Linked DNA regions of Lepisosteus oculatus. The protein of the gene in region 2 interacts with the protein of the main gene of each other region in a pairwise test. Links are inferred from orthologs where the notes say so. Each region holds a gene or a part of one and is shown on either strand. Other genes may lie near its edges.

Region 1 (7,886 bases), on a different chromosome or scaffold from region 2:
GCTGTGGGTTTAACTGTATGTCCTATTCGTAGGGGTGCCAACTTCACTGCGCTCTAAACAAGGCACAACTAGACCAATAAAAATTCTTCATGGGCCTTAAAAAGCCAATGAATTGAAAACATGCTGGACTGATGATGCCTTTTAAAGAGTTTAAAGGGCATCATTTAAAAAAAAGTTTAAAGTCCTAGGCCATAAGGAATATACATTTTAATTACAACGTATGCAAGATTTTTTTTTGAGGGAAAAGGCTTTTCTTATCATTTGCTTTTTAAGATAAAAATAAATGAGTTAACAGAATTGCAACCTTAATGACTACAACCCCTCACCACACATTCCCTCCATACAGTGCAAACTCAATACTGAAGCTGCATGCAGTGAAAGAGTTCCAGGACAATCGTGGGGTACCCTGGTTGCGGCCGTATTCTACCAGCCAGCCAGAGATGCAGATGATATCCTGCAGTGTGGCCTCAGGCAGGTGCTCCAGTGTGACCTCTTCCTGCACATCCAGGTCCTCATCGGTTCCAATCAGATCCAAGATCAAGATGGGCGGCACAGGTTTGCTGTAGCGGGTCAACAAACTCCGGAACTCAGCCTCCAACAGCTCCTTCCCCTTCTCAAATCTCGCTTTCTGGGGAAGGGAAGATGACAGGGTAAAACCAAACTCCTTCTTTAACAAAGGTCCTTTTAAGAATGTGCATCAGTCTATCAGGACAGTTGAGCTTAGGAGGTACTGCCATTGAAAAGCTTCATCCTCACATTCTTAAAATCATGACCTCATGTAACAGAGCTGGCAAAGATGAGCAACGGACAAAATAGGTGTTGCATTAAAATACACATCTTGTCTTTTTCAGTACAGTACAGAAATCACTCAGATTCAAAAGAGACATGAACAAATTGTAATATTAAACACATAAAAACAGTGTTTAGATTCAAAAAAGGGGCAGGACTTACAACTGTGTTGAGCTCTGGGCTATCAGGGTTATTGTCCTGAAAATATTCCACTGCTTTCTGGATTTTCGCAATACAAGCAAGGTACTCATCCAGTCGGCCTGTAGGGCTGAAACACACACTTAACTGAGTATAATAAACTGGCAGTCTCAAAACGTGCACCTGTTTTGCATCGATTTAAGTGAAACCAACACTATTTTCACACTCTTTCAGTATTCAGATTTATTAATGTTTTTGCAAGCAGACTAAGACCTAGATTAAATTAAATCGCATTATCTGGTGATTTCTTGCAAATTGCAAATAACTACCCAGGTAGTGGACTACCGCTTTTTAATGAAGTTAAAGGCTTCTTCCTTCCATTCAAACGAAAGAATTACTCATCTATGAATTGGCTTCATTACTCTACTCTCCTCCCCACTGATAGCTGATGTGTGGTGAGCGTTCTGGCGCACTATGGCTGCCGTCGCATCATCCAGGTGGGGCTGCACATTGGTGGTGGTGGAGGGGAGTCCCCATTACCTGTAAAGCGCTTTGAGTGGAGTGTCCAGAAAAGCGCTATATAAGTGTAAGCAATTATTATTATTATTATCTTGGAACGGTGGGTTTGGTTCACCCAGAACACTCCCAGCCCCTCCTCATGCTGGACACCACGCCTCACCCCTCTTTGATGATCTTGTCTGTGTCCTTGGCCACGTGGTAGTAGCTGATGACGTGGTCCAGGCAGGAGAGAGTCTTCTCCACGTTGTCCTGCAGCCGCTGCAGATTCTCTGTCTGCTTGTGCACTGGTATGATGGAGTTCTCCAGCTGCATGAGGCGGCTCTCAAAGGAGGACAAGATGGAAACCTGCAGAACAGCGAGGCAGCGTAGGGAGAGGGTTGAGGTCTTTAACCAGAGTCGAAGCTGCAAAAGCAGTTGCATTCATTTTTTTTATCCTACCCACTCTTATTCAGAGACAAATCAAAAGAACTATGAAACCTGAAAGATCCAGTGGACCACAGGACCATGAATACTATGGACACCCCCAGTATACTATAATCCAACAAATTATTTCAGTGCTGCTTTGTTACCAAAAGGCAATTCCACACCAACCCAGAAAATCAGACTGTATAACCTTGGGATAACCACATAAGTCTAAGTTAAAAACAAACATATAAGGCACTGGAGAGCCTCATTGTTGTTTGGCTTTACGTCCATCTGTATAGCCACTGTTTCTACATTTTTACTATTTCAGGATTACAAGTTAAAACTTGGTGCCCTGCAGTCCTACACAACCAGGAGAGAACATCACTGATCTAAACGGTTTTCTTACCATTCCTTTCGTCAGCTGATCACTTTTCTCCAGGTTTTCACGGATGAATGACAACGTGTCCTGCTCCTGTCGAAGGGTAAAAATATAACAGAGGTGCTGGAAAGCATGTTAATCACACCTTATATTCTGTACCTAGAGGGCTCCAGCCCTGGCCGTTAGGAACCAATGGGTATTCTTGTTTGAACTGCAACCATTGTCTCTCAATTGCTTAATTAGGCCAACTAACAGTCAAAATGAACATGATCTTTAACCACTGACTGAAACCATCTAAAAAGCCCCCATTGTACAGGGGTGTGGCCGCCTCCGAGCTCAAGCGTTAGAGATCACTATGCTTTGACAGTAGAAATCTCCACATACTGTACTACCATTAACAACAATGAACTTTTGCAATTAATACAACTTGGAATGCACACAGATGCGTAAACTAATGTCGGCAAAGAATGTTTTTTTTTTATATCCAAAAAGGAAAATGAATCACAGTCCTTCAAGATGACTGTGAACAGATGAAAATACTCTAAAAGTGCCGTTGATCCTCTACAAACCTGTTTGAGTTTCTCTTCTATTTCTCTCTTCCTAGAGGATGCGTCCTCCGTTGGAATCATCCTGCTAAATGACTGGTTAATGTCCTTATTAAAGTAAAGTATTAGTGTTTATATTTTTGATTCTAACAATTAAATGCACTTGAACCCCTACTCATACTAACAGGTTTTGCTTCCTGTTTTTCTCTTTCGACCTTCTTCCGTTTCCGGTTGGCAGCAAGGCAGTACAGAACCTCTCCGTACGGTCCGGTGTTTCCTTCATTTTGGTTGTGGCAAGAATTGCATTTGAAAAGAATTTTTTGTTATTTCTAAAATTGTTGCGTGCGAAACATTTTTGTTAGGGGATTAGTGAATGCTGCAATAAAAAAGAGTCTCACTTTATTAATATTTTGAACTGAAGTCATTTAAATCACTTTGAATTAATGATTATGGACATACTATTTGGTTGTTTTTTTTCTGTTTAAACACAAATACATTATTCCGTGTACAGTTGTCGTCTTATATAATATAAATTCTAATTTTTCAAGGTGATTTTATCGTGTTGGGGTTTACCACAAAATAAACCTAATGCAATTCTTGTTCCCCTCACATCGTGTCGCTGTAGGATGGCCATTAATACGAGAACTTAAAAGTACAGCGCTTAATTTTTTAAGATAATCCTTTATTTTGTTAGGAACTAGAGTACAACAATCACAGCTGTCCAATTACCGAATAGCCTGATAATATCGATTGTGATAAATGGGGAAAAAAATGTTATTGTGCTCTTTTTTAAAGGGCGATTATAAACCTTTGGTAAGGCTATTCCTGGTAAATTCTAATTATGCAGTGTCTTACACTACAGAAGCATCTGTCTCGATGACTCTCTCAAAGTTTGAGTGCCCAGGAAGTATTTAATTTTAACAAGCGCCCATAGGTTGCTCACGGAACTACAGCGTTTTTTAAACGGACATCAACTTTTATGTATAGGTATACAGATACTGTTGGCACAAATAATATGTAAGAATAAACGGTTTAAATATGAATCTATCTGGTAATCGAATTAAACTGAATTTTGGGAAAACTTGGGTATTACCTACATAGTCCTGTGTTTTACACTTCCATGGCATATAATAACTCAGTGTTATGATTAATAATCTGAAAAGTATCTAATGTTTAATTTTACTGTTTACTCAAAGTGTAACATTTCTTTTTTAATAATAATAATTGCTTATATAACGCTTTTCTGGACACTCCACTCAAAGTGCTTTACAGGTAATGGGGACTCGCCATTGTACTGGGGCATTAGGACCCACGCAGACCGCAGAGCGAGCGCCCCCTGCTGGCCCCACTAACACCTCTTCCAGCAGCAACCTTAGTTTTTCCCAGGAGGTCTCCCACCCAGGTACTGACCAGGCTCACAGGCTCAAAATCTTCTTTTAGCTTCAGAAGAACAGAAAGAGAAATTGTATCATTATAGTGCTGAGAGAAAACTATACACCCAGATTTTAGAATTGTTTGTTTGCGCCCCATGCGAAGGTAAAAGAATGCTTCAGCTACAGGTAGTGCCCTGGCACGTGGTAAACTGGGTGCCCAAGATATGGAATACAAGAGTCACGAGCTTGTTGACTTAATGATGTCATTAATGATAAGGCATCATCCAGGTGGGGTCTCCACATTGGTGGGGGTGGTGGAGGGGAGGCCCCATTACATATAACGCGCTTTGACTGAAGTGTCCAGAAAAAGCGTTATATATCAGTGTAAGGAATTATTTTTGTGATATGAAGGATGAGAGATTTTAGTCGCGGGCGATTGAGCAGTAATTTTGCACGTATATCATTTATACTATTGAAGTTACTGTTGCATAATTTAAACGCCTACAGTAGTCAGTGGATTAAGTGGGTCAATTCCATCGCAATGCGTTAAAAAAAAAATCGCACTCAGCCTTAGCGCATTTTATCAAAGTAACCGGAGAGAGGCTCTCCTGGACATGGGGGCGGGAACCGCTTGCTGTATTCCAAAAACATGTCAAAGGGCGTCTAGTGTCATTAAAATGTATCGATACAGTCGGTAAGGTGGGGGGTAATAATATGATTATTGATAAAAGTAATCTAACATGACAGGTTGACCCAGCGAGGATTATACACTTCACAACCACCGGATTCTATGCCCATATGTGTATTTATTTTGAATTGCGGTAGATAAATTGATGTTTACTTGCACTTGTTGACACAGCAATGAGAGTAGGATCTGAAGGGGCGTCCTGGGGTCCCGCAGTGGAGGTTGATACGCCTGGAGGAGCTGTGCGCCTTGCTCGAGCGCCGAGCGTGCACATGAAAGCCTGGAACCCGGAAGTCCCTCATCCTGGATCCTGCTCCCACCTCATTCATCGCCTTGGCAGCGAGAGAGCCGGAGGAGGAGGAGGAGGGAGGGTGGTGAGAGAGAGAGAGAGAGATTATTTAGGGATCAAAACAGGCAGGCTTGTCTTGACACCCGAGGGGAGGAAAAAAAAAATGGGGAACTCCGACACCAAGCTGAACTTCAGGAAAGCCGTAATACAGCTCACAACTAAAACGCAGGTAAAGGACACGGGGAACGATGCGTTTAAAAAGGGAGGCAGCGTTGTCGGCTCACATATGCAGCCTGAAACGCTGGGTTGATGGAAAGCACTGAGGAAAACGGGACCAGATGGTACACGAACATCAGAGAAAGGATGGATCAGACGAGCCCAGCAGACGGATTTCTTTGAAGAAAATAAATAAATGACGCGTTTTCACAGTAATCGGGCGCGTTAAACACAACGTGAAATAAAAACTGTGGCGTTTTCTGTTAAATTATGTGCGTTTTCTGCTTTCATATTGTAAAAGGTATCGCTTATTATAAATGCAGTCTGACATGGGTTGTAAAAAGATGTAAATAACAGATTTTACCGTTGTATACAATCTGTTATAATTGTCGCTCTACAAAATCTGGATTTTGCATGCGTTGTGTGTGGGTGAAAATGAATTAAAAAATCCCGCACCCCCATCGGTAAATAAAGAGGTAGCTAGTTACTGTTTCTAGGTAGCTAGTAGTAGACTATTCCTAAGAGCTTGATGGGCCTGGGAAATCATTTTCGATAAACGATGGGGAGATTGGTCTTTTTTTCCCACTTCGCATGCGGGTTTCTACTAGTAAATCACCGATTGATCGCGTACATTTATTAATTTTCATATACCGAGGTTTTTCTGTTAAGCGAGCGCACACCTGGTGAAGGTGTTTCAAGGTGGACTCTGAGACAGGGGTTCGTGGATTTACGATAAATAGGAAATTAGAACAGCACTGAAGTCAGCCAGTAAAGAGGGTAGTGTGTTGATATTTGTTTAAATTAAATCTGTAATTTCAAAGACAGTCGTGTATGCTTCTGAGGTCTACTGTACTGATGACGTGTTTTAATCTCGCAAACCTGAGCGGCAGGTGCTTGGTTAAGGTGGACTGAGTGAGATAAGAGAATAAGCAATGACATACTGTTTATAGATGTTATGGCGGCTACAATATTCGGGCAAGTAGGTTAGTTTGCTGTTCGATTGTTTTTCTATCGTCTCATGCAAATGTATGTACAAACTGAGTGATACAACTCAGGCTTATTATTTGAGTAGTCTACATTTTTTTTTCTTATTTGAATCTCAATTTGACTGTCAACGCTTTCACCTCGGGGGGGACTCAGAAGCTTTAGACACGATTCACCGTTTCTAGAGACGAATATCTTAGGTTGTTGTTCGCTATTCTGATGTGGACACACAAAAATAATAAATGATTTAATTTCGTTAATCTGTGCCTTTCAAGATTGTTACGTGAACAAATATTTGTACGTACTTGTATCTTACCGAATCAAAAATGCATAAATCGGTATCTATATCAAAGTTTTTCTTAGTGTAAAACTCATCGTGTGGTGTCGTTACTGGTGAGTGAAGCCAACCAATTATCTGTATGGTATGTTTCAGTGGAGATCGGCGTCACCATGCGTTGGCTGCAAAGGAATAATTAAAGGTTAAGAAAAGAGAAACAGACATTTCATCTGCAGGGACTTAGACTTCCTCAGGTCATACAGATTGCGTTTCTCCTTTCCATTTTCCAGCGTACTTCTTCCCCTGTGTGTTTTACACAAGTTCTCAGATCCAGAGATGGTTCTTTCCCTTAGAAATTGCTTATGTTTTTGTATTGGTACTTTAACTGACTTCTGGGATAATTGGCTCTAGGTGTGAGCGGGTATGTCTGTGCTCTTGTCTTTCTGTCTGCTTTGCTGTAGACTGGCATCCCATCGGGGGGGGGGTGTCCTTATGGTGTATACAGTCATACTTTTGTCACTTGCATTGGTTAGCATCTTGGTAAAAAGGGGTAATTCTTTCTTTTGGTTTACTTTCTATGTAAAAGCACATTTTCTTTCTGGGAAGTGTAATTCATGTTCTCTTCTTTTTTGGGGGGGATCTTTTACTCCAGCCTGTGGAGGCAACCGACGACGCCTTCTGGGACCAGTTTTGGGCTGACACGGCTACCTCAGTGCAGGATGTGTTTGCCCTGGTGCCAGCAGCGGAGATCCGAGCGGTTCGCGAGGAGTCTCCCTCAAACCTGGCAACCCTCTGCTACAAGGTACTGAATGTCTGGGGGCAGCTGTCTGCATTCTACCTGGGCACAGGTGGCAACAATCAACGAGCCCCGATGTCCATGGTTCAGATCATTGATTTGCACTGAGATGTAGTGGTGCTGGGTTTCACCCAGGCTGGCAGAGAAGTGTGTCTGAGTTTGGGCTGTGGAAAGGGAGGCTGTCTGTTCCCTGCAAGGCAGTGAAGGGCTTTCTCCCAAACACTTTTGGAGTGCAGGAAATGAACCGAAAGCAGACTTTATAGTAGTCAATGGCCTATGTTAGTCAGCACTGGATGGGTTTTATTAACTTTTATAGATTTTGTTTTATTGATTTTCAAACTGCAGTTTAAAAGTAGAGGATGAGCAGCTTGTCCGGCACTTTTTGAAGCTCCTTGCTTGGTGAGAATGCTGTGTAGTTTCACTTTTTTTTTAATGCTTCGAAAAAGAACACACGTTGACAGTCCACAAAGAGCAATGCGTCTGTTGTTAAA
Region 2 (6,964 bases):
AGGAAGGGTCTACATACTTTAGCAAGGCGCTGTAAATGAGAGAAGTTTGAATTGTTAGTGGAAAAAAAGAGACGGATTTTGAGTCTGTTAGAATCTTAAGCAATCTAAAAAAATACCTCATCCCACAACCTGTATTTTCTTTGGGTCATGTTTGCGCTCCAACATCCAAGGTTGTCTCCCATCTGAACTGCAGCCCTGAAGTCTGATACCTGTCTTGATCAACAAGTGATCTGTTGTTCCCAGAGCTGCTCTCTAATGTTTCTGCTTCACGCCTCGGGTCATCTCCCCCAGATGTTGTGCAGATGCGGAGAAAGATGGATCCTGCACCTGCTGTCTGTAGGGACACCTGCAGCGCAACAGGGCTCATGCCCCGAGCCGCTCTGACACATCACCCCTGCGTAGAGCTCGGCTGTGGGACAGGACCTGGACTGTCCCCTGTCTAGGGAGCTGTCCCCTGTCTAGGGAGCGGGGCTGTGTGTGCCTGGAGCCCGCAGGCGACTGGCCTGGATCCTAGCAAAGTCCTGCTAGTCCGTGAGAGAGTATGGAACTCTCCCAGGGACGGTCTTTTGGGGGAGGCGGAGACAAGCCAGCACCTGATTCGGCGAAAAATGCTGTCCAGATCCTTCTTCATCTCCACCAGCGTCCTCGTGTGGTGCTGGAAGCGGTCACTCATCTGCTGGAGACGCACGCTGGACAGGCCGTTGAAATTCAGAAGCATCTCGTTGGTCTTTTCAAACCGGTCCAGCCTGCAGGAACACGTCACATAGAGAAAGTGCTTGGAAGCTGGACGAGACGGCACACCGATATCCCTTCCAGGATTTAAAGAACAAAAAACAGCAATATAAAACTAAAAAAATTAAATCTAGAATGAAGCCAACATCTTTCCTATATATTATTTGTTTTTTCAATGTAACTGGCTTCATCACTCTGCTCTCCTCCCCACTGAGAGCTGGTGTGTGGGGAGTGTACTGGTGCACTCTGCTCTCCTCCCCACTGAGAGCTGGTGTGTGGGGAGCGTACTGGTGCACTCTGCTCTCCTCCCCACTGAGAGCTGGTGTGTGGGGAGTGTACTGGTGCACTATGGATGCTGTCGCATCATCCAGGTGGGGCTGCACACTGGTGGTGGTGGAGGGGATCCCCATTACCTGTAAAGAGCTTTGAGTGGAGCATCCAGTGGAGCTATTATTACTGAAACCTGCGCCCAGAATCCTGCCCAGAGGATTCTCTAGCTCATGTTGATGCGTGTTGTTTGTTTGTGCGTTTTCCTGATATTGTCTGCTGCCGTAAAACAAATTGCCACCTCGGGGACAATCGAGAAACTCTCTCTCTCTTATTTATGTATGTAACAGATGTGTTTCCTTCAAAAAAATAATTCCTGTGTTATACAACACAGATATATCTGCATGTCATCTGACAAAACGTTTTTTTTATTCTCAGAATTACAGTGCAGTTAGACGAGAGCCACGCATCGTACTCACATGTGCCTCTGCGCCTGGATGATGGCGTTCACATCCTCAGAATTGACCATGCTGAGCATCCTGTCGCAGAACATGCCGGAAGCAGTCGGCTCCATGCTGAGCCTTCGAGCAAAGAACCAGCAGTGTCCTAAATGGACAAAGTAGATATAAACAAAAAGACACGCAAATTAAAAGCTGGTAAATTGAGAAATAACTATGAAATCTTTCATTCATTAATCAAACAAAACGTTAAATCAGTGTTAAAGTTATAGAATGTAAAGGGATCACAGAAATTTAAATGAAAAATGACAAGAAAGGAGGAAAAAACAGACACTACGGGCAGTCCTGAGCCTACTCGATCAAACATCAGTGACAGGAGCGTGTCAGGGGAATCGAGGTGTTGTTGTTCTACACTCGGAGCAGCACACAGCAAGGAGGAGATCCGGCTGCTGGGAGGTCCCGGCGAGAGTGAGAGCAGCAGAAATAAGACGAGCTCTGGCAAATCATGACCACACTCAAATCGCTTCTAATGTGCAGAGGACACCAATCCAGGCAGAACTGTAAATAGTGCCGTAACTGTACGAGCATCACACCAGGACGCAAAGACTACAGACCGGGGCAGACACCTGCCGAAACAGAACTGGATAAGGGCAAGTCACAACGAACAGGAAGCAGAAACACGAATCCCAGACATCAGATGGGCAGAAGAAGCAATGAATGGGGAAGATGCAGTAGAAGGGTGCAGGAGGTCCTTCCTGGTTTCTACAGCTGGGGCCTCGTTCGAAGCCGCATGTGCACTGAGCAGCTGCCGCGGTCTTCACTGAAGAGATTTACTTGGAAACACGGGCATCGAGTGCACAGCACCCCTGCAGCCTGGAGTCAACGTCACACGGCGACTCAAACAGCCACGTACTGTACCTCCCCAGCACCAGATAAAACGCATATACTACCATGCACGCTCAGAAGCGCCACCGGCTGTCGGTAAAGCCAGTGCATCGCAAGACTGGAAAACGACACGCGTGCAATTTGTTTACTGGTGTCAAGCCTAACTGTTCAGGAAGCGAATTTTAAAACACCTCACACACTTTTTTTTTTTTTTTGAGACCGATTCGGCATTCCGAAGACGAAACGAGCAAGTGTCGATTCCGTATGAACCACTTCTGGACGGTTCCACAGTTCATTTTTTTTTAAGTCCGCATCTTCAAAAGGCTCAGCCGACCTCCTGTTATTTGACAAGTGACGCGTATTTGAACCGGGGCTGCCAGCCTCCCCAATGCGCATCGTATCGCTCAAACTCGCACTGTCACTCGTTCAAGAAATGAAGAAGAGGAGAATGGGCATGATGCAGCTCTCGGATCCTAGACTTGTCTACTGAATGTTAGGAGTAACGCTCGGAGTTTGACATGATCTGGTATGGAAGACGCGAAATAAGCGGCATCTCTTCGTTTTGCTACATCTGTAAACTCACGCCTGCTTCGCCAAGGGTTGCCGTGGGTGTAATCCTGGTTAATGTTTACTTCCACAGCCTCATTTAGTTGTAGTAAATAAACGTCTCCAGCCCTTCCTCGGTTGAGCACGACTGCGCTGCGCTCACTTCCGTATTGCGGAAACGCACAAGGGACTTCCTGTCCGGCGCGGAACCACGTGTGCACGCTGGCGGAAGAGGCGGATTCCCAGGCCCTGGAAGTCCTGCGTTTTTAATCTAAAACACTGCCCGTTTCGTATCAATACAGCACCGATTACTGCAGGAGGATGGAGCACGGGCGATCTTTGGCCGGTGGGGGGCGTTGTTCCTGCAGGTTTTCCAGTGAAATATTAAATAAAGCAACAATCCAGCTTGTTTCCATGCCATATGTCCTCTCACTTTCAGAATTAAGAACAGCTATAAAGAAGAAGGATACCATTCGACCAGTCTAGCTCTCTTGGTATTTAGTGGAATTCGGTTGTTAAGTGATCCAGGGTTCTCCTTCAGTTGTTTCTTCAGTATCAGCTTCAACAACATGGACAGGTCACTTGTTTCATGGTGTATTGATATGAAACTGTATTGATATGAAACTCATACTCAGAAGAAGATCATTAGATCTCTGGCTTGGGCTTTGCCTTTCGTGCATTTACAGCATGTAACAATGCCAGCTTCAGAGCCACCCAACACCAGACCACTACAGGGATGTAGTAATGCGCTGTATCCCAACAGGCTTTGCAAACCTCCTGTGGCAGGAGACTGGTTCTCCAGCTCAGCTGATTGGTTCCTGAGAGATGAGCGCGAGATGCCGAAGGGCCTCAGGCCAGGGGCTCCCACTTCCAGGGCTGGAGTGCCACACAGTTGCCGGCCTTCCTTCCCACTGAGCTTCGTCACTGAGCTGGACTGAGAAGTTGCTTGATTGAAATATTTGCAGGATTTGTTTTATAGTCTGAGTATGTTATGTATGAAATGCAATAATAAAAGGCAGCCTCCAGCATGTTTAAAAAGAACAATCTTTTGAATTGATAATATCAAGTCAATTAAGGGTTCAGTTATGCATCTAAGCAGCCGCGTGGTCCTTCAAGACCGGGACGGAGACCCCTGGCTTGGCTTGACCCCTGGATTATCATATCAATCACCAATCGATCGTATCATTTGTCAACCAGAAAACTACCTCCTAATCATGTGAAGAATGATCCGAGTCAACAACAACAGCAAGAATTCATAGCCAGTGAATCGAGCATCTTGGTTAAGACTTTATTTCAGACGTGCTGCTCAGTATTTACACCTCTCCCCACGTGACGTCTTTTATCCAGGACCTGTAGGCTGACACCCTGGTGAAGACAGCCGGCCTGTGCGCTGTGCAGGTCTTGCTGCCCCAGGTGAGCACGCCCCACAGGGAAGACACACCTTCTCTGCTGCAGACCAGCGCCCCTCCGGAGATCCCCTGGAGGGAGGGAGGACGTTTGACACAAATTCTCTTCAGTTTATTCGAGACTCTGATGGTTCACAGTCAGGCTCGGGGTTCATTCCAACTCCCTTTCAACCCACTGAAATGGGCAAAAAGTGGACCTGAAACCCCGACCTACTCAAAGTAATTCAACTTTAATTTAAGCAAGTATAGAGTATAGAAAAATCAGACTCTGTAAAAACAATACCTGTACATATACCTACATCGCTGTTCAGAATGTAGCAGAAGACCTCGTTGAACTGGGAGAGACGGGTTTAAATAAGAGGAATGTCTTATGGAAGACTGAGTAAATCCCCACACAGTACCGATACGGGAGACGTTTCATTCATACCAAATAAAATTCTAGGACACGCTACTTAAAGTGTAGTTGAATTGTAAACGTTTAGATGGTAGGAGAAATAAAAGATGCACCTTGCCCATGTCTGAGAACCGGTGCAGAAATGTAGTAGGAGTGTGGTATTTAGTCAGGTTTCAAAGAGATCTCATGCTGTAATGATGCCAATGCAAGTATTCCAGCCCAACCAAGACCTGTTGATTTTAACCATGGTGGTGCAATGCTGCATTTTGGAAATTGACTAAAAGGCAATGGCATGGTAGAGCATGTTCTGTATGAGTACAGATGCTGTTAGGCCACTGAACAACAGACAGCCCAATGAAATACACACAATGACCCATGACATTACTGATCACTGAGCCCTGGAACAGGCACGTGCTTGTCTCGGCTCCGAGAGGAGCAGTGCAGGATCCCACCAGACAGCAACTGTGGCCTGATGTACACAAGACTGCCCTGTGCTGTAGCAGACATTAACCAACGCAAGTCTGGTCAACAAAATAGCAGCATGCCCCCAACAAGAAGAGATATTTTACAGATAACTCTTTTAATTTGTTGCAATTATCAGCAATACGTTACTTTTGACACTTAGTTAACTGTATATTTAGGATGCAATGGTAAAATGGCTGTTTTAAATGAAACAACAGCGGGATTTGAGCAGAAGGCACAGAAACGACATGAATGGACTCTCTTTCACAACAGTGCAGATTACCAGAGTGTGTTCCCAACAATTAAATCCATTACCAATCTGCTACAGTATAGCCCATCTAAATAACATGATAAATAACATTAAAATGTCCGTCATCTCGAGCACTGTAAAGTATGAAATACTGTATCTGTACAGATGTTACCGTGTTGTTGCAAGAGCGAATGGAAATTGAAGAATATACCATGCAAGATCTGGATCCAGCTGCCCCTGCACAGATGTGGGTCTTAAGAATAAGGTCTTCTCCCCAGCTCTTTCTACAAGACGTTTCATTAACCAGCTGTATTCTGGCCTGGCGCAGCACATCCGGGTTAATATTTGCTGGAAACGGATTGGAAACAGACACTTTGAGAGACGTTTTTAAAGGGAAAAAAACCCCATCTCACTAAACACACAGCAATATTTTTTAAAAAAAGAAAAACTAGCACAAAGTTTTCAAACTACATTATAATGAAACCTCAAGGGGAAAAAAATATTGAAAAGAATAAAGAATTTAGGACGAGCCCTGAAATCTGACTTTAAAGGGAAGAGTAAGCAGAAGGGCCTTTAGTGAACTTCAGCCATGATTTTTCTAGGGTTTTGGCCCTCTCGCCCTCAATCCAACGTGCGTGGCCTTGAAGATGGGTTTCCTAAAGCACAGTAACAGAAGCTGCACACAGGAGTCAGGGTCCCCGAGTGCAACAGGCGTTCCACACTCGCGTCCCGGATCCCGCCGAGGAGACCAAACAAAAGGTGGGAGAGCGATTGCGTTGCCAGATCCGACCCAGGCTGCTTCCCGAAAGGGGCAGCAGGGATTTGACTCACGGGCAGCGCTGCTGGACCCCCAGCCCGTCGTCACACAGGACCAGCTGTCATCCAGGTCGACGCTCTCATCCGGCAGGCAGGCCGGAGCCACGGCGTCACCTTCACAGGAAGAAAAACCACCGCAGATTCACAAACCAGCGCGGCTGCGAAATACATTCTAAACACGTTTGAAGAGGGCGGCACCTCAGTAGCTGCCATTGCGGTCTCGCACCACTGGGGCCCTGGGTTCGAGTCCAGACCTGGAGAACTATCCGTGTGGAGTTTGCATGTTCTCCCCATTTTTGCATGGGTTTCCTCCAGGTGCTGCAGATTCCTCCCACAGTCCAAAGACATACCAGTAGGTTAATTAGGTTCTGGGAAAAGTGGCCCTGGTGCGAGTGCGTGTGTCTGTGTGTGCCCTGTGATGGACTGGCGTCCTGTCCAGGGTGTGTGGGTGTGGGTGTGGGTGTGGGTGTGGGTGTGGGTGCGCGCCCTGTGATGGACTGGCGTCCTGTCCAGGGTGTGTGTGTGTGGGTGTGGGTGTGGGTGTGGGTGCGCGCCCTGTGATGGACTGGCGTCCTGTCCAGGGTGTGTGTGTGTGGGTGTGGGTGTGGGTGTGGGTGCGCGCCCTGTGATGGACTGGCGTCCTGTCCAGGGTGTGTGTGTGTGGGTGTGGGTGTGGGTGCGCGCCCTGTGATGGACTGGCGTCCTGTCCAGGGTGAACATTGCTGTGCACCCCTTACTTGCTGGGATA
Region 3 (6,901 bases), on a different chromosome or scaffold from region 2:
TCACGGGCGTGTCTTGCAGGCTGAAGTGGAGGAAACCTTGAAGAGGATTCAAAGTCAGAAGGGTGTCCAGGGGATCATCATCGTTAATGCAGAAGGTACGTGCGCCCACCTGCACAGGTATCATAGTGGTCAGCATTGCTGTGGCGGAGTCCTGGGCTTGGTTCCAGACCTGGGGTGCTGTCTGTGTGGAGTTTGTATGTTCTCCCCAGGTTTGCGTGGGTTTCCTCTGGGCGAGTCCACATGCTCGTATGTTCACTAGCTTCTGGGAAAACTGGCCCTGGCTTGAGTGTGTCTGCCCTACGATGGACTGGAGTCCTGTCCAGGGTGTACCCTGCCTCGTGGCCACTGCTGGGATAGGCTTCAGCTCCCCACACTTCGGAAAGCACTTAGAAAAGGGTCTGTTTTCTTGACTTGCTCAAGTGGGAATCGCCAGTTGTTTTTAGGGCCGTGAGCCCTGGAGAGGGTGGAGGCTGGCAGACAGGCCCCCCTGGAGAGCCGTTCAGCATCACATCTCTCGCACCCGTGTCCCTGCAGGCTGAGGCAGAGCCCGAGAACGCTAGGGCTTCAGGGGAGGCTTTTACTATTCTTAAACGCGGGCCACAAAACGTGCCCAGTGGGTTTCTGACCAAGTTTGATATCCTACGTGTTCACAGGGGTTTTTCCCCCAGTATACTCCCACAGTCCAAAAACATCCTGGCAGGTTAATTGGCTTCTGGAAAAACTGGCCCTGGTGCGAGTGTGGGCACCCTGTGATGGACTGACGTCCCACCCAGGGTGTACCCTGCCTTGCACCCCTTGCTTGCTGCGATAGGCTCCAGCTCCCCTGCAGCCCTGAACTGGACAAAGAGCTTAGAAGATGGGTGGACTTGAAAGGCGTGCGCCATGCATCCCCCACCTCACTCCCTCTTGCCCCTGCTGGTAGGGATCCCCATCAAGTCCACGCTGGACAACTCCACCACCGTGCAGTACTCGGGGCTCATCCACCAGCTGGTGATGAAAGCGCGGAGCACCGTGCGGGACATCGACCCCCAGAATGACCTCACCTTCCTCCGGCTCCGCTCCAAGAAAAACGAAATCATGGTCGCCCCAGGTAACCAGATCAAAAGCATTTAAAAACAAACATTTATTAGTCCAATCGCTGTTTGCATCTGTTTTGCTAGATTGATTTTAAGAGCTGGGTGACGTGTGCAGCAGTATGTGGAGTTATATACAGTGTATGCCTTCGCTGAGATTTATAAAACTGGGCTCATCGGCCCCCCCTACAAGCACCCTGTAATTGTGTGGGGTTTAGTGGCCAGTTGGATCACGATACAGGAAGGGAATAACAGAAAAAATAAATCTTCACTGCATTATGTTAGTAGCTGTTTTTTGTGTTTCTATGCTCCACGCACGCTGATGTGTAAAATTCCTCGCCCAGCGTCCTGCTCACTGACCACTGTGGGGGTGCGAGCAGGAGCAGCAGACAGGTATTAGCGTAGCTCAGCCTGAGGGCTCTCTCACCCAGAGTGCAGATCGAGCCCCTTGTCCGAGCCGGATAGAGAGGGCGTTATTCAGGCAGGAGAGCCCTGTGACCTCCAAGGTGATTCTCACAGAGGTTTCAGCTCTGGCAGGTAGGCAGGTCCTCACTCTCTGTGCAAACAGAAAAGCAGCAAAATGAGCAGAAACAGACTGGACATTAGAAATAGTTAAAACGAAACCCAACTTTTTTTTAAATGTTTTTTTTAACGTTTCATGTTTAATGTTTACAATTTCTTGCATTTGGAATGTGTCTTTTCACATACCCCAGCTTTTTCTCCATGGAAACACAGACAGGGAGAGAAGCTTGGGGTCAGAGCGCAGGGTCTGCCATTGTACGGCGCCCCTGGAGCAGTTAGGGTTAAGGGCCTTGCTCAGGGGCCCAACGGAGTAGGATTCCTCTGCCGGCCGCGGGATTTGAACCGGCAACCTTCCAGTCACAGGCGCAGATCCTTAGCCACAGAGCCACCACTCCGCCCTTATGTCATGCAGGGGGTCATTGGGAGTGCTTTAAGGCAATAATATTTTAAGCTTGTTTTGCAATGTTCAGTAAAATGATAATCTTTGTTTTTTCCTTTTGACAGATAAAGAATACTTCCTCATTGTCGTCCAGAATCCTACAGAATAAGAAGACCTATTCCTTTTATTAAGTTATTTTTTTTATTTACAAGGCCAAATGGTGTATGTCGAAAACTGTGCCAGTGTCGGATAAATTGTTCTAGGTTTATCTTGGAGAAAAAAGCATAAATTAGTTTCATCACAAGTATTCATTTTGTGCAAAGAGTGTAATTCAGTGCAATAAGAAGTAAACCTTTACTGCAGCTCCATTCCTCTGGTTCCCAAGCTATACATCATAACTATACAATGAAAGAGAATGTATTCTCCATGCACATGCAGCAGAAAGCACAGGCTAGGAACTGCTGCTGGTTTAAAGAGTTGGAAACAAAATCACTGAAGTGCAGGGGTGAAGACTGACCAGGTCCAGTGTGATCCTGTGTTTAATTCCGGACTGCTTCCATGAAGGCCTGCAGCATTAATGATTAAGCATCCTGCACTGTCCTGCTCAAAAACTGGTCACTATATTTTCAAAGACGTTATCAATGTAGAACTTGTTCTTATTTACATTTAAACAATCTTTTAGTTTAATAAAACTTGAGGGGTTGGAAAGCTGTGGTTTTCCCCAAAGGGAGCTGGCTTGCAGAGGGTGTTTGAATTTGATTTGTATTTGTTTCCATTCATTTCCTGCACCTGTGAGCTTAAAAGGCATCTGCAGCTCAACACGGTTTTTACTGTGGCTTTTGGGAAGAGTAGATTCCACTACGTGTACAGTGCTTTTCCTCCGATGTAAGGCCGTTTAAAATCTCTTGATTTCTTCAGCTGACTAAAGACAGCCACCCACTGGATGAGTGCAGAAAAGACTCATCTTGGCTCTTGCCCCTACTGTGTTTTGGACCATGAAGCACCCTTTTCCTTTACAGAACTTGTTCCATACTATATATTTAAGAAAGTCATGTGTCAATTTAAAAGCATCTAATAAACTTCTCATGGTGGCAATATGTGCAAAGAGTCTGTATGTTTGCTTGGGTTTCCTCCCACAGCCCAGAAACCTGCTGCTAGTGTGAGTGTTTTTCTGCGTGCCCTGTAATGGCCTGGTATGTACATGCACTCTCTGCACTGAATTAGACTGATCAGCACAGCCCTCTGGATTACACAACACTTAATGCATGTCAAGCAGAAATAATGATTCAGTTTTCACAGCCAGGATTGTATCAGGAACACCCAGTGAGGGATCCTACAGTACCCCCCCCCCACCAGCTTTCCTTTGCCTACATGTCCAGTAGAAGTGTACATTTTAATTGCAACACAAAACTACTAAAAACAAATAAAAGCCTCCTTAATGCATAAAAGTAACGACCTCAGTTTTTTGTTTTGAATATCTAAAAGGTAATTTACCAGGAGGCCATTCAGCTCATACAGCTTCTTTGCTAGTTAGTAGTTAATGGATCCTGGGATTTTATCGAGGTGTTTATTGAAAGAGGTCACGTGGTCAAGGCCTATACCCTGGATGAATCAATCAGTTAGTCCAACACTCCCACCTACCCCGTCTCTAAAGGTCAAGTTTAAACGTGTCACACTTCAATAAACTGGGTGTAAAAACCAAACATGGGCAGTGTTATCAGTAAGGGGCATCATTGCGGGTCTTATTGTTGCCTTTTAAATTTCTGTCTCCAACCCCATTAAATGATTAAGTACTACGAGAGCACCTAAAATGGATGAAAGGGATTCATGAAACACGTCGAGCCGATTCTGTCGGCTAAACACTCCTCCACCCTCTCCACAACACGGCTCCTTCCCCTTTAAGAGTCTCCGGCTGACGTCATACTGCTCGGCTCGCTACACTGTCACAAAAGCGAGCTGGGCAGACAGAGATCCGAGCCCCAGGTTGTCCAGTCATCTGTGCTTGAGACGGGCGTTAAACCGGACTGATCCCTCACAATAATGCCTTCCGACAGACCTTTCAAACAAAGGAGGACGTTTGGTAAGTCATAAACAGTTTATTTGCAAATTAGGACAATGTATTCCCCACCACCACTATCATTGATTACCAGATGTCGTGTCGCTCAGTCTTTTGTTTACCAAACAAAAAAAACAACAATCTAGAAACCTCGTCATAAAGACGGCCTGTCGGGCACTTCTGTTGTGCCCGACCTGGGTGGGTTGTTTTTCTGCCGTGTACGTGAAGCGGGCGTGAGCGTGTTGAAAGGTGTTTTTTTTCTCGCGTCCGTGTAGTTTATTAAAAACGCGGAGCGATCCGGAAGGCCGTGCGTTCACATCGCCGCTCTTGAATCCGTTAGTTGAATACCGGCAGGACCGAACAAGTTGGCATCCGTACCAAACCTCAGTTATGGGCTCTGGTGTTCAGGGACGGAGGATTTTAAAGTCCCATTATTACACCAGCTTGCTGGGTGCACTGCAGGACCTCGCTCTGTGCGAGACCACTTCGGATAACGCGGCCAACAGCACCAGGTTTTGATGTCAGGTTCTTCACGAAAGAATTGGATGATGTAGTATCGCTGCCACAGGGTGGTCCGAGGTCACAGTGTGCTTGGCGTCACGGGCACCCGGTTTCGGGAGTGGGGTCGGCACCCCACGGTGGGGAAGATGGGGAGGTACAGTGAAGTTACATATAATACACTGTTTAATATGGGTCCGCGTATGAGATACAGATCGGATACATGGTGGCAAAAGAACAGCAAATTGCATAAAATGGAATCATTCTCTATATCGGAATGTATTACGTATATGACATACCATACATCAGATTAACCCAAAGAACGTTTTCATCATTCTTGTTAGGACGTTAAAAGCGATTCAGTTTTACGGACTTGATTTCATAAATCAGGATTTTCTAATAAGCGGATATTGACCTGCAATCCCGGCTATGTCGCATCTTAAGAGTATTCAACAGGTGTCTTTAACAGTTCGACAACCTGTGCCGCCTTCAGCGTGCACGCCTTACCGCGAGTATCCCCCCGCCTTTTCACTTCAAAATGAATCAAGGCAGGCTTGTGTGAGAATGCGCACCTCCAAAAACAGCGCCGTACCGCGCAGCCACGCAGGTTAACGCGGGATGTTACCCGTCTCGGAGAGATCGTCAATGTGCTTCCAGACGAAAAGCTGCTCGTCTGCAGAAATCTCCCAACAGGAAGGTCTCAAGGCGACCCGACGGCCCCGCGTGTTTCCGGCGCGATGGGGGCGGAGCTCCGGGGCGGGCGGGCTCCGTCTTCAGGCAGGACCACACCCCCTCACCTCCGCGAAGCTTGGACTTTTACTACAGTAAACATCTTTGGGACGGTGCGTGCTGGATTCCGAATGCCAGCTGACCCCAGGTCAAGAATGTTAAAGGGTGATCCTCATTACGGATGTCTTGCAAAGAACCCGTGCATATGAAGAGGATGCAGGGCTTGACAGAAAAAATTGCAGTATGGGTAAGGGCAAAATAAGAGCAATAGGCTTAGGAAATCCTCCAAATAGAAAAACGGGTCAATATTTTTTTTTCTTATGACGGTATAATCCAACAGTGCTGAGGGATAATTAAGCATTCTATTTCATTTAGCACACAACTTCGGTTAAATTTACAGGTTTTCATTTAGAAGCTGTGGGGGGAAACCATCCTCTACCTTAAGGCGTCCTGTCGATTAGGGACTTGTAGCTGACAGCCGGTATCGGAGCAACACGGAACTAATTGGTAAAGGAGAGAAAAGCCCCTCCCTCCTTACTTTAAATAGACTCGTACAGGCTCCGCCTCAGGTGGGTGTGAACAATGAAGGGCTTGCCGATCCTGGCACGCGAAGACGACACCTGCTGCTCTTTAGCCCAGCTGTTCTTGGTTGAAGCAACACCTTTCCCGGCTGGAATGCGTGGTATTTCTTCTCCACTCGGAAGGGTGGTGTCTTATTCCACTCATGAAATGCAGTGGGCAGAAAGCACCCTCCAGCATGGTGTTTAAGAGCCGAAGAACAATCCAGAGGTTCAAGTGAACCGTGTTGATACCATCGGTGAAGGGCTCAGTTCTGGGACCATGGGCTCGACTGGAACAGAACTCCAGGACCAGGATGTAATTTGCGCCCCTGGTGGGCGTGACCCTAGCAGACATCCCAACTTGGAAATTGGGATTTCGGGGGTCGACCCCTAGTTACCCCTGTTTGCCCTCTCGGGGGGCTTTGTGCTTGTAGCTCCTCTTCGCTGTCATTATGCACAGTGAAGTCCCGTGGTCAGACTGTACTATAATGTGATCCACAGATGAAGGGGAGGTCACTGCTTGGGAGTGTTGTAATAAAGAATGGGGAGTTTTGCCGGTTATCCTGTTCCTGGTGGAAAACTGCAGTTCAGTCAGTGTGACTGGACTCTCCGCTCCGACCCCTTGCTGATCTTTAAGGATGACTGCCTGTTCTAACCTAATAGGTTTCGTTGGAGCTCTTTAATTATATTTAGTTAGAGGTTGTCTTTCAGCTTTTTCTTAAGTCATTTGTTCTCCACCTACTGAGTAGAAGAAAAGCTTTCAAAGGTTCTAACCAAGCAAGTTGTTGGTTCCTCGTTAAGGACTAATTAAACAGAGAGCTCAGCTGCAATAGCAGGTTCCTTTGTCTCGGAGTGGGAACTCTGGCCTAGACCAGTCCTGGTGCTGTTTATGTAGCAGAAAATTGATTTTTCTCATTTGCCCACTGCTTATTTTTGTGCTGTCAGTGTTAGTGTTCGCGGTCAAAGGTCAGCCACGTCTGTGTACAGCTGTGTACTCTGATCAGGAGGATCTGTGGGCATGTAGAGACTGCCTGGCTGAACTCGTTTCGGTAGCTAACACAGGTCAGCTGACTGTTACTTGACT
Region 4 (8,005 bases), on a different chromosome or scaffold from region 2:
AAAAACAAGCAAAGCAAACCTTCACATTAGCATTTCTCAACTAATGTGCCTTCAGACATTAACAGGGTGCACCTTTAAAACTCTGAACAAATCACATATGAGAAAATAAAAAAAACTAAATATTTTTATATATATATACTGTATTAATGTTGTGGAGTAACCAAAGTCTCATGTTACATGTTCAGTGTATACAAAGAAGATAGAGGCCACACTTAAAGATCATCCATAAGGGAATGGCGTGTGGCACAAATTCAATTTTTTAAGCTTGACATAGCAAAATAAAAACAGAGAACATCTCAGTGCTTCCCCCATCATACATTCCTGAGATTTGTTTATAATATTTTAATAATGTGCTTGGGCCTATTACGTGTGTGCGCCCAGGCGGTGTGCCGCAAATTTTTTTAATTTACTGCATAAAATTGAACGGCGGAATGGAAATGGTTGAGAAGCACTACGTTATGTAAATCTGAAACAGAAAATTCATTACCGAGCAGCTTTTTCCACGATTTAATGAGAGATTTGGCTAAAGTCTGGACTTCTTCATCATTGCTCTGCTTTCTCACCGCATTAACAGACATCCCAATCCTTGTAGACTGTAAAATACAGAACATAACATTCAAACATGCAGAAAACACTTTGTATCTGTCTCCTTTCTGTCTCGAATAATAAAAAAAAAATCCTAAAAGAAATCCCAAAGTAATGTAAAAGCTAAACATTCAGTCAAGATAAAAATGGGATTCACAACCTGAATCAATCAGTAAAGTCATTCATTTGGGGTTCAGGTTGTGCCCTAGAGTCTCCCAGACACTCATTCTGGCCTGTACCACTACTCAGCTGCAGGAATAATTCCCTAAGTGGAAGCCCATTGTAGTGTTGGCTGCACTAGAGTGGCTGATCTTGGCAACTTGGCCAGCAGGGAACTCTGAGATAACCTGGGTGCTACGGGCACTCTGGAGCCCAGCTGGGTGTGGATCGTTGCCACACACACCTTCTCCCTAGGGACGGACAGAGGATCCGAGCAAATCACTGCTTGATAAAAAAAAGTGTGATTGTAATCCGAGGCCAATGCTGACATTTATAGGCTCAGCCCAGCATTGTGGCACATTCCTGGTACTGGTCATCCCACACAACTCATCTGGTGGAGATTTCAGGCACACAATCCCTATCCAGTTCAAAACCAGGGATTGTGTGTCCAGTGCAAAATAAAAATATAATCTGGAAATACTCAAAAACTGATGCCTATCTAGATAAAAGGCCAACAAGACGTTTTACAAACTGCCTAGGGTGGATTAATTGCACATTGCATGCACTTTATAAAGTAATTCTTAATAAGCCTTTTTAAAAGCAATACTATAAATACTCATGTGAGAGCAACATACAGTAATTGGTCCAGAGCACACTGCCCTGCTATACAGTACAGTTACAGCAAGGTGGATGAAACCTTAAACTCAATATATTAATAGCAACCAAGTGAGCATGATGGCCTTCTTTCATTGGTACCTCCTCGTGTTTTGAAAGTTACAATTTTGATTTCTGTCATTTCTAATGTTATGATTGCTCTAACTCACCTGCAACGTCTCTAATGACATTTTTATATTTTTTAGTTCTTTCAGCAGGTCCACAGCTCCATCCTAAAAAGATTAAAAGTGAAGTAAATAATTTGCAAACTCCGTGAACTTCAGAAGAATTCAGATACATACAATAAATGCAAGGCACCGCCGGTAGAATCAAAACCGAGACTTTCGCTTTCATTTCTTCCTAGGCAAATTCACGCGGGACTCTTAAACAGTGCGTGACTGAAATGGAATTCATGATTATATCATTAACGTTTTCTTGCATTGATAACATACATTTCTTGCATAGACAGTATAAACCCTACTGAAATACATTTAGCACTTAAGTCATTCCGTCATTAAACGTTCTATTTCATTTATACCTACAATGTGTTAAACCTGTTTTGCTACAGAAATGACACTTCATACGGATGGGTCGTTCTGTGTCACACTAGTCACAGTATATATATATCGCCATTTGTGTTAAATAACTGTAGCCGCCCGGGTCATAGCGATCCGGTCCATTGTTTTTATAGAAAAAGCCTGCTTCCCATTTGTTAAAGACTGACACTACAGAAAAATCTGGACCAATACCAGCTGCCAGCTCATCAGCACATAAACATGCAGATCTCTGATGCAGCCCACTTTTAGCCTTTAATACACGGACGGCACGATTGCTAGCCTACACAAAACTTCACGTTACCCAAGAGGTGTGGTAAATCCCAGCATCGCAGAACAGATTTGCATATTTCGGTACTGATATTTTGGGGATCCATAAGGATTACAGGCACTGCATGTGATGCGATGGCGTCTGCGAACAGTATGAGTGTGCTTACAAATTGACAAAACGGCTATTCTTCGTATCGTTATTATTTCATTACTGCAAAACGGCACAGCCTACATATGCATCCGAACCGTATGAGACTGGAGCTTGTCTCCTTTTCCCAGGTGGGTGCAATCTCGGCCTGAGATATCTGGGAACATGAAACCAGCGGATACTTTGTATTACCAGCGTTACAATTGTGAAATACAGCACAATCAAACAAGACGGATTTTTCTTGCTGAACACGAAAAAGCCCTTCCTATTTATTTAGACTTATCTTGCTATATATATAGGAAACTGCACGCAATAAAGCGCTTGGCCGTCTCCTCGATTGGATTTCGTCAGAATTTTCTACCGAAACAAAGGTGAAACATCTGAACAGCTATCACCTATGTTAAGAGGATGCTATTAAATTGTCCTTACCGTGTTTTTTTTATTGACCATCTTGTCTAGCTTTTTGGCAATACGCTCAACTTCTTGATCCTTCGCCATCTGCATGATTTTTATAAGAGTACTGCAAATGTCGCGAAATAAACCTCCATTTATCTCCCAAACGCTGATCACACTGCTTTCTCCCTACTCCCGCAGCATTCAGACGAGCTAGGCTGCCGCAGTACAACGACCGTGAATTTGTTTAGCGAGTCCGGAGTGGTCACATGGATCCTGGGATTTGTAGTTACTGAGGTCCCAGTAAGCCGAAACCCACAGTTCCCTTAGGATCATGGGTGCTGTAGTTTTTGTTCTGTGGAATATGTAAATAATAATAATAATAATAATAATAATAATAATAATAATAATAATAATAATAATAATAATAAACTTTATTTTATATGGCGCATTTATATAAAGGTGGCTTCTCAAAGCGCTTTACAGGAATAACAATAAATAAGAAGACTACAACAATAAATAAGAAGATTTCACAAGATAGGACACAATTATAATTACAACAATACAACAATAACAATAGAGGAGACCGTGGAAGGTGGTATTAAGAAGAGCAGAGGGGTGAAGAATGGAACCAGTTAAGTAAAGGCTTTTCTGAAGAAGAAGGTTTTGAGTCTGGATTTGAAGGAGTTTAGAGAAGGTGACTCTCTGATATCCTTGGGCAGAGAGTTCCAGAGCTTGGGGGCAGAACAGGAGAAGGCCCTGTCGCCCATACAATGTAGACGGGCTTGGGGGACAGTAAGGAGGGCAGAATTTGAAGAGCGGAGGTTGCGAGGTGGGGAGTAGGGTGATAAAAGTTCAGACAGGTATTGAGGTGCCAAGCCATGTAAAGCCTTATAGGTGAGCATGAGGATTTTTCTGGCGAAATGTGACCAGAAAAATAATAAATCTATTAAAAAAATTAAGCATGGTATTTGTAACACTTTGCAATGCATACTGTATGCATTCTGTATATATAAGAAATATATTACAAAATCACAGTAAAGACTTGAAAAGTATTGTAGGTATTGTCTTTGCAAAGTATTAAACTTTGCAACATACTTTGCAACTTTGCAACAATGAAATAAACAACATTTTTTTTATTTCTATCCTTTGCTTTGCTGATGTAAAGTTCAACAGAGTAGGCTCATCTTACCTCCATCTGTGCACAAAAGTTGAGCCTTTTACGCTCTGGTTAGAACTGAAAGCTACCACCAGAAAAACCAACAGATGGCGCTGTTGCTTCATTCAGAATAACATGCCCTTAATCGTAAGAACATGCAGAATTCTATTTGCTAGTAGCGACTCTTATTTGTGGATTTTTATGCGAATTTTTACATATCTACCTTTAGTGAATTAATTTTCCTGATTAACTGGCCCTATCTGTTGCAGTACAAAAATCTTTTTTGCTTTCTGTACAATAATATTTCAATTTATGTCATTAGTGTAGATTAGTTGTTAAGTTTTAAGGCACATTTCCTAATCAGTAAGTGGACTGGAAACTTTCATATATATATTAGACAGTGAAATGAAAAACAAGCGCATGTAATGCAATTCTTTGAGATAAATGATAATAACTATAGTATCAAAGATTATACAAATTAATTTTTAAATATAAAACGTGTTATATTTTTAATCACACACCTGTTTGGTGCATGTTGTACATATTGACTCGACAGGGATATATATTGCCATGCGAAATAGTTTATCAGAGGCGAAGGCTCTTTGCTAACTTTTTGTTTCTAAATATTTCCAGTCTCTGTACCTTTACATCTGTAGTATCAATTTGTATGAACATTTATTCTGCACATTGTACAGATAATTTCAAGAGATTTGTACAGATTTAGATTTACAACACATAGTTCTTAGATTAAAATCATATGAATATGAATGTCACTGCACTTTCTAAGTAACCTAGATATACTGTACATATTGCGAACAGTGTGTATATAGAGATCAGTGGATTTGTACATGGATTGGATTACAGGCAGATACGTAAGACAGCAAAGCATTATAAATAAAGAGTTATAGTGTTACTGAGTGTCTGTTTAGGCATAATAGACCAAAAACCTAATGACAGCATACAGCAGGAGTGGGATTGTGTGTATATCATGGTTGACACAATAGGGGATATCCCTTTCGGGGACTCAACAGACAGAGCTCACATTACTGTTCTGTTACTAGGGTGGTATGCTTTCTAAGGAAACCCCACCTTCGAAGGAGCCAACCTGCCTTACTGGAAATTCCCAGTGCTCCAATCTTTTTAGTACGGGAAGAGAAAACTCATAAATTTCCTCAAGCACTATAGTCCAAAGAAGAAGGTAGAATTACTGATATGATTTAAACTTACAGGTATCAACTAGCACTATTAATTCAGTCAGGAAACCAATCCAATGGAATTCATTTTAAAATGGTCTTGAGGGTCCCCACACTGCATATAAGAAAGATGTTTTTCCTGATTTATTTACGGGATTTCAAATATACTTCTGTACTTTGCAGGTCTTGGCAGTTACCCCAGTGTTTCTGGTAGAATAGTCTCATTAGTTATAAGTCCACAATTTCATAATAGCAATTTCCCCCTTTTCAGAGAAATGGAAATTCTAAAAGGAAGATGAAGATTATGGTCCTGAAGAAATATCATTGAAAAATATTTGAAAAAAGTAGAATTGATGCCCGTTTTTTAAACAGAACAGTTATTAAGGCTACAACAGTAATACGCATGACAAAGCAGTGAAAGAATAGCATGCATGTTGATTCCTGGGCCAATTTTCTCAGAAGTAAATTAACTTACTAGCATGTACTTGGACTGTGGGAGGAACCCAGAGCTTCTGGTGAAAACCCACACAAACACAGAGAGAACATACAAGCTCAACAAAGATAGAAGCCCAGGAATTAAACCCTGGGATCCAGCACTCCAAGGGAGCAATGCAAACCACAGTGCCACCAGCAGTAAATACAAGTTCCTCTTGAAGCGTGGAACACATTGACATAGAGTTACAATATGGTACAAGAACAGCATGTGTTGTGTCAGGTATAACATTGTGGTCTAACAAGTATGACCTTTAGTATTTTGTAGTTCTGGTTTCAGTTTGATTGAGTGGAAAGCTTGTGCAAGTTCACGTCACTTGAATATTTCAGTGAAATATGAATGGAATAAAATAATGTTCTTCAACAATTACAGTGACCTTTACTGCTACAAAATTTGTTAAAGAGCTGCTGATGAATGCACTTTGGTCTGCAGTGCATTTTAAATCCCCCCAGCTTCCTTTTATCTTGTGACAACATGCTGCACCTCCATCAATCTGATGTTCCCGTTCTTTCTTACTCGTCAAGAAGAGCTGATAAACCAGTTACTAAGGGCAGTGAGCTGAATTCTGTTGCTTTATGTCATTCTAAAATAATAACAGGAGTTATATTGCAAATAGCTTATCTTAATCCGTTTTCATTTTTCAGTTTTAAAACTTCTAAATAAAAAATGTTGTGTATAGGTGGAATAATAATAATTGCAATCATGCTCTTGAACTCAGTAAAATGACTGAATTAATTTAAGGAGAATTGTTTTTTTTTTTCTTAATAAGATCTCAGGGTTTTTTGGGGGCAAATCCTGGAGCCAACAGAGGGAAAATGAAGCAAAGCGATTTGAGTACATGGTATAAGTATCTGCTTACACAATGCTACAGTATGCATTTATACAGTGGTAAAGTTGAAATTATTAAAATAGGAAATGTTGTGATGAGAATATAGTCTACAACCAAGTCTTTTATGCCTTTTCTGATCTAAAAAAATGATACAGCGTGGGCTATAGTATTCTTTCCACAGGGAAGTTCATGTCATGATATCCGTGATTTTTATGGAAAAAACCCTAAAAGAAAATTAGTATTTCCCATCATTAACGCAGCCTTGTGTCTTTTACAGCCTTTCCAGGAGAAATGACGGAAACATGGTCAGAAAAACTGTCTGACATATATAGAATTTCGGCTAATGAATAAAAGAAGACTGAACAACATCCAAGTTTATTTCAAAACAATGAAGCATTATCTTCTTCTGTCAAGGGTCTTTCTGTCTGACGAAAGTACATGGTCTAAATTTTAAACATATGTACCAAAGCACATAAAACACTTTCTTTTAGACATCACTGGAGTCCAAAAGACTATCTCAGATTTGCCTTTTCTCCTTCTCAGCACAAATAGCTCACAGTCCAGTTATTAACCTGTTGTAGTTATATGTGCAGTAGTTTGTTTTAGGCTCCAGCTCTATTGGACCATCATTTATTTCTACTTCATCTACTATTTTGGGGTTTGGAATAGAGAATACATTATGGTCCAGTAAATAGTTCAGTAATGTACTGTAGTGGTGCTTCTACAGACGTTCATCACGTTCTTCCAGTGGCACTTCTAGTGCTACTTATGGATTAGGATAATTATTTTCAGGATCATCATGATTTATTCATATTTATTAGAATTGTATGATGCAATCAAACCCAATACTGGCATAGTTACAGATGCATATCCAACACTCCATAGTTGTAATTTGGCAACAAACAATTTTTCCTTAATGTATTGTAATTCTTATTACCAGTGCAAGAGTCAGCATTTACTTTTCCTGTTCAAAACGGAAAAACTTTTCCAGAACTCCACAAAAGGCGTTCACGTATGGTGACCATGTGTCTTTTCATATCAAGCCAGAGATAAGATTACATCATTCTGATCTGAATGAGATTCGACACACCGGGCTTATCAAGCAGAAGAGGAAATACAGTCACGGTGCGTATTGTAATAGAAAGTTCTAGTTCATTTGCTGAGCGTCTTTCCCATCCCCCTCAACACGGCACCCCCTCTCCCCAGCAACCTTGACCTGCCTCAGTCTGGTATTATTACATTTCCCCTTGGCTGGTAAAAGCAGGATTGCAGACTGCAGCCTGATAAATCCTGCTGTGGGAAGGTTTGAGCTCCTGAACTCTCACACAGTGTTTTCCAATTTAACACTTCCTTCATCGCCCGCTAACCAGATAGATTCGCAAAGGTAGCGTCCAGTGGGGATTCATAAGAATAGAACTGCCTGAAATGCACGGTGGACTTGTTTCCTCTGTTGAGGATCGCTAAGTAAGGCTTTCAAATTCTTATGTACAGTACCTGTTATTTCACTTCATTTCATCCAGGGGTTTTCCCCATGAAGTGTTTCTAGTGTGTCAAAGAATCCAAGCGTT

The links.
Region 1: the proteins of kxd1 (region 2) and exoc7 interact in binary tests that used the Homo sapiens proteins (3 or more experiments, as listed by UniProt). The two-hybrid records come from large-scale screens. The link is inferred for Lepisosteus oculatus from reciprocal best matches to the Homo sapiens genes KXD1 and EXOC7.
Region 3: the proteins of kxd1 (region 2) and map1lc3a interact in binary tests that used the Homo sapiens proteins (3 or more experiments, as listed by UniProt). The two-hybrid records come from large-scale screens. The link is inferred for Lepisosteus oculatus from reciprocal best matches to the Homo sapiens genes KXD1 and MAP1LC3A.
Region 4: the proteins of kxd1 (region 2) and tcea2 interact in binary tests that used the Homo sapiens proteins (3 or more experiments, as listed by UniProt). The two-hybrid records come from large-scale screens. The link is inferred for Lepisosteus oculatus from reciprocal best matches to the Homo sapiens genes KXD1 and TCEA2.

The regions. Positions count from the first base shown.
Region 1 is NC_090704.1:43,129,485-43,137,370, forward strand, and holds the start of exoc7 (exocyst complex component 7), read right to left. Parts: upstream 3,002-7,886; 5' UTR 2,860-3,001; coding exon 2,800-2,859; intron 2,324-2,799; coding exon 2,258-2,323; intron 1,792-2,257; coding exon 1,607-1,791; intron 1,058-1,606; coding exon 952-1,057; intron 629-951; coding exon 406-628; intron 1-405. Other genes in the region: protein HID1b, read left to right, coding at 5,286-5,351, 7,252-7,401. UniProt on the Homo sapiens protein: Component of the exocyst complex involved in the docking of exocytic vesicles with fusion sites on the plasma membrane.
Region 2 is NC_090702.1:56,034,270-56,041,233, forward strand, and holds the start of kxd1 (kxDL motif-containing protein 1), read right to left. Parts: upstream 3,010-6,964; 5' UTR 2,926-3,009; intron 1,606-2,925; 5' UTR 1,574-1,605; coding exon 1,479-1,573; intron 747-1,478; coding exon 594-746; intron 1-593. Other genes in the region: ovch1 (ovochymase-1), read right to left, coding at 4,202-4,366, 5,612-5,748, 6,232-6,330.
Region 3 is NC_090711.1:2,773,789-2,780,689, forward strand, and holds the start of map1lc3a (microtubule-associated proteins 1A/1B light chain 3A), read left to right. Parts: upstream 1-3,896; 5' UTR 3,897-4,014; coding exon 4,015-4,054; intron 4,055-5,394; exon of another isoform or gene 5,395-5,500; coding exon of another isoform or gene 5,501-5,504; intron 5,505-6,901. Other genes in the region: dynlrb1 (dynein light chain roadblock-type 1), read left to right, coding at 20-95, 923-1,090, 2,100-2,143. UniProt on the Homo sapiens protein: Ubiquitin-like modifier involved in formation of autophagosomal vacuoles (autophagosomes). While LC3s are involved in elongation of the phagophore membrane, the GABARAP/GATE-16 subfamily is essential for a later stage in autophagosome maturation.
Region 4 is NC_090711.1:4,608,660-4,616,664, reverse strand, and holds the start of tcea2 (transcription elongation factor A protein 2), read right to left. Parts: upstream 3,018-8,005; 5' UTR 2,875-3,017; coding exon 2,800-2,874; intron 1,632-2,799; coding exon 1,569-1,631; intron 594-1,568; coding exon 488-593; intron 1-487. UniProt on the Homo sapiens protein: Necessary for efficient RNA polymerase II transcription elongation past template-encoded arresting sites.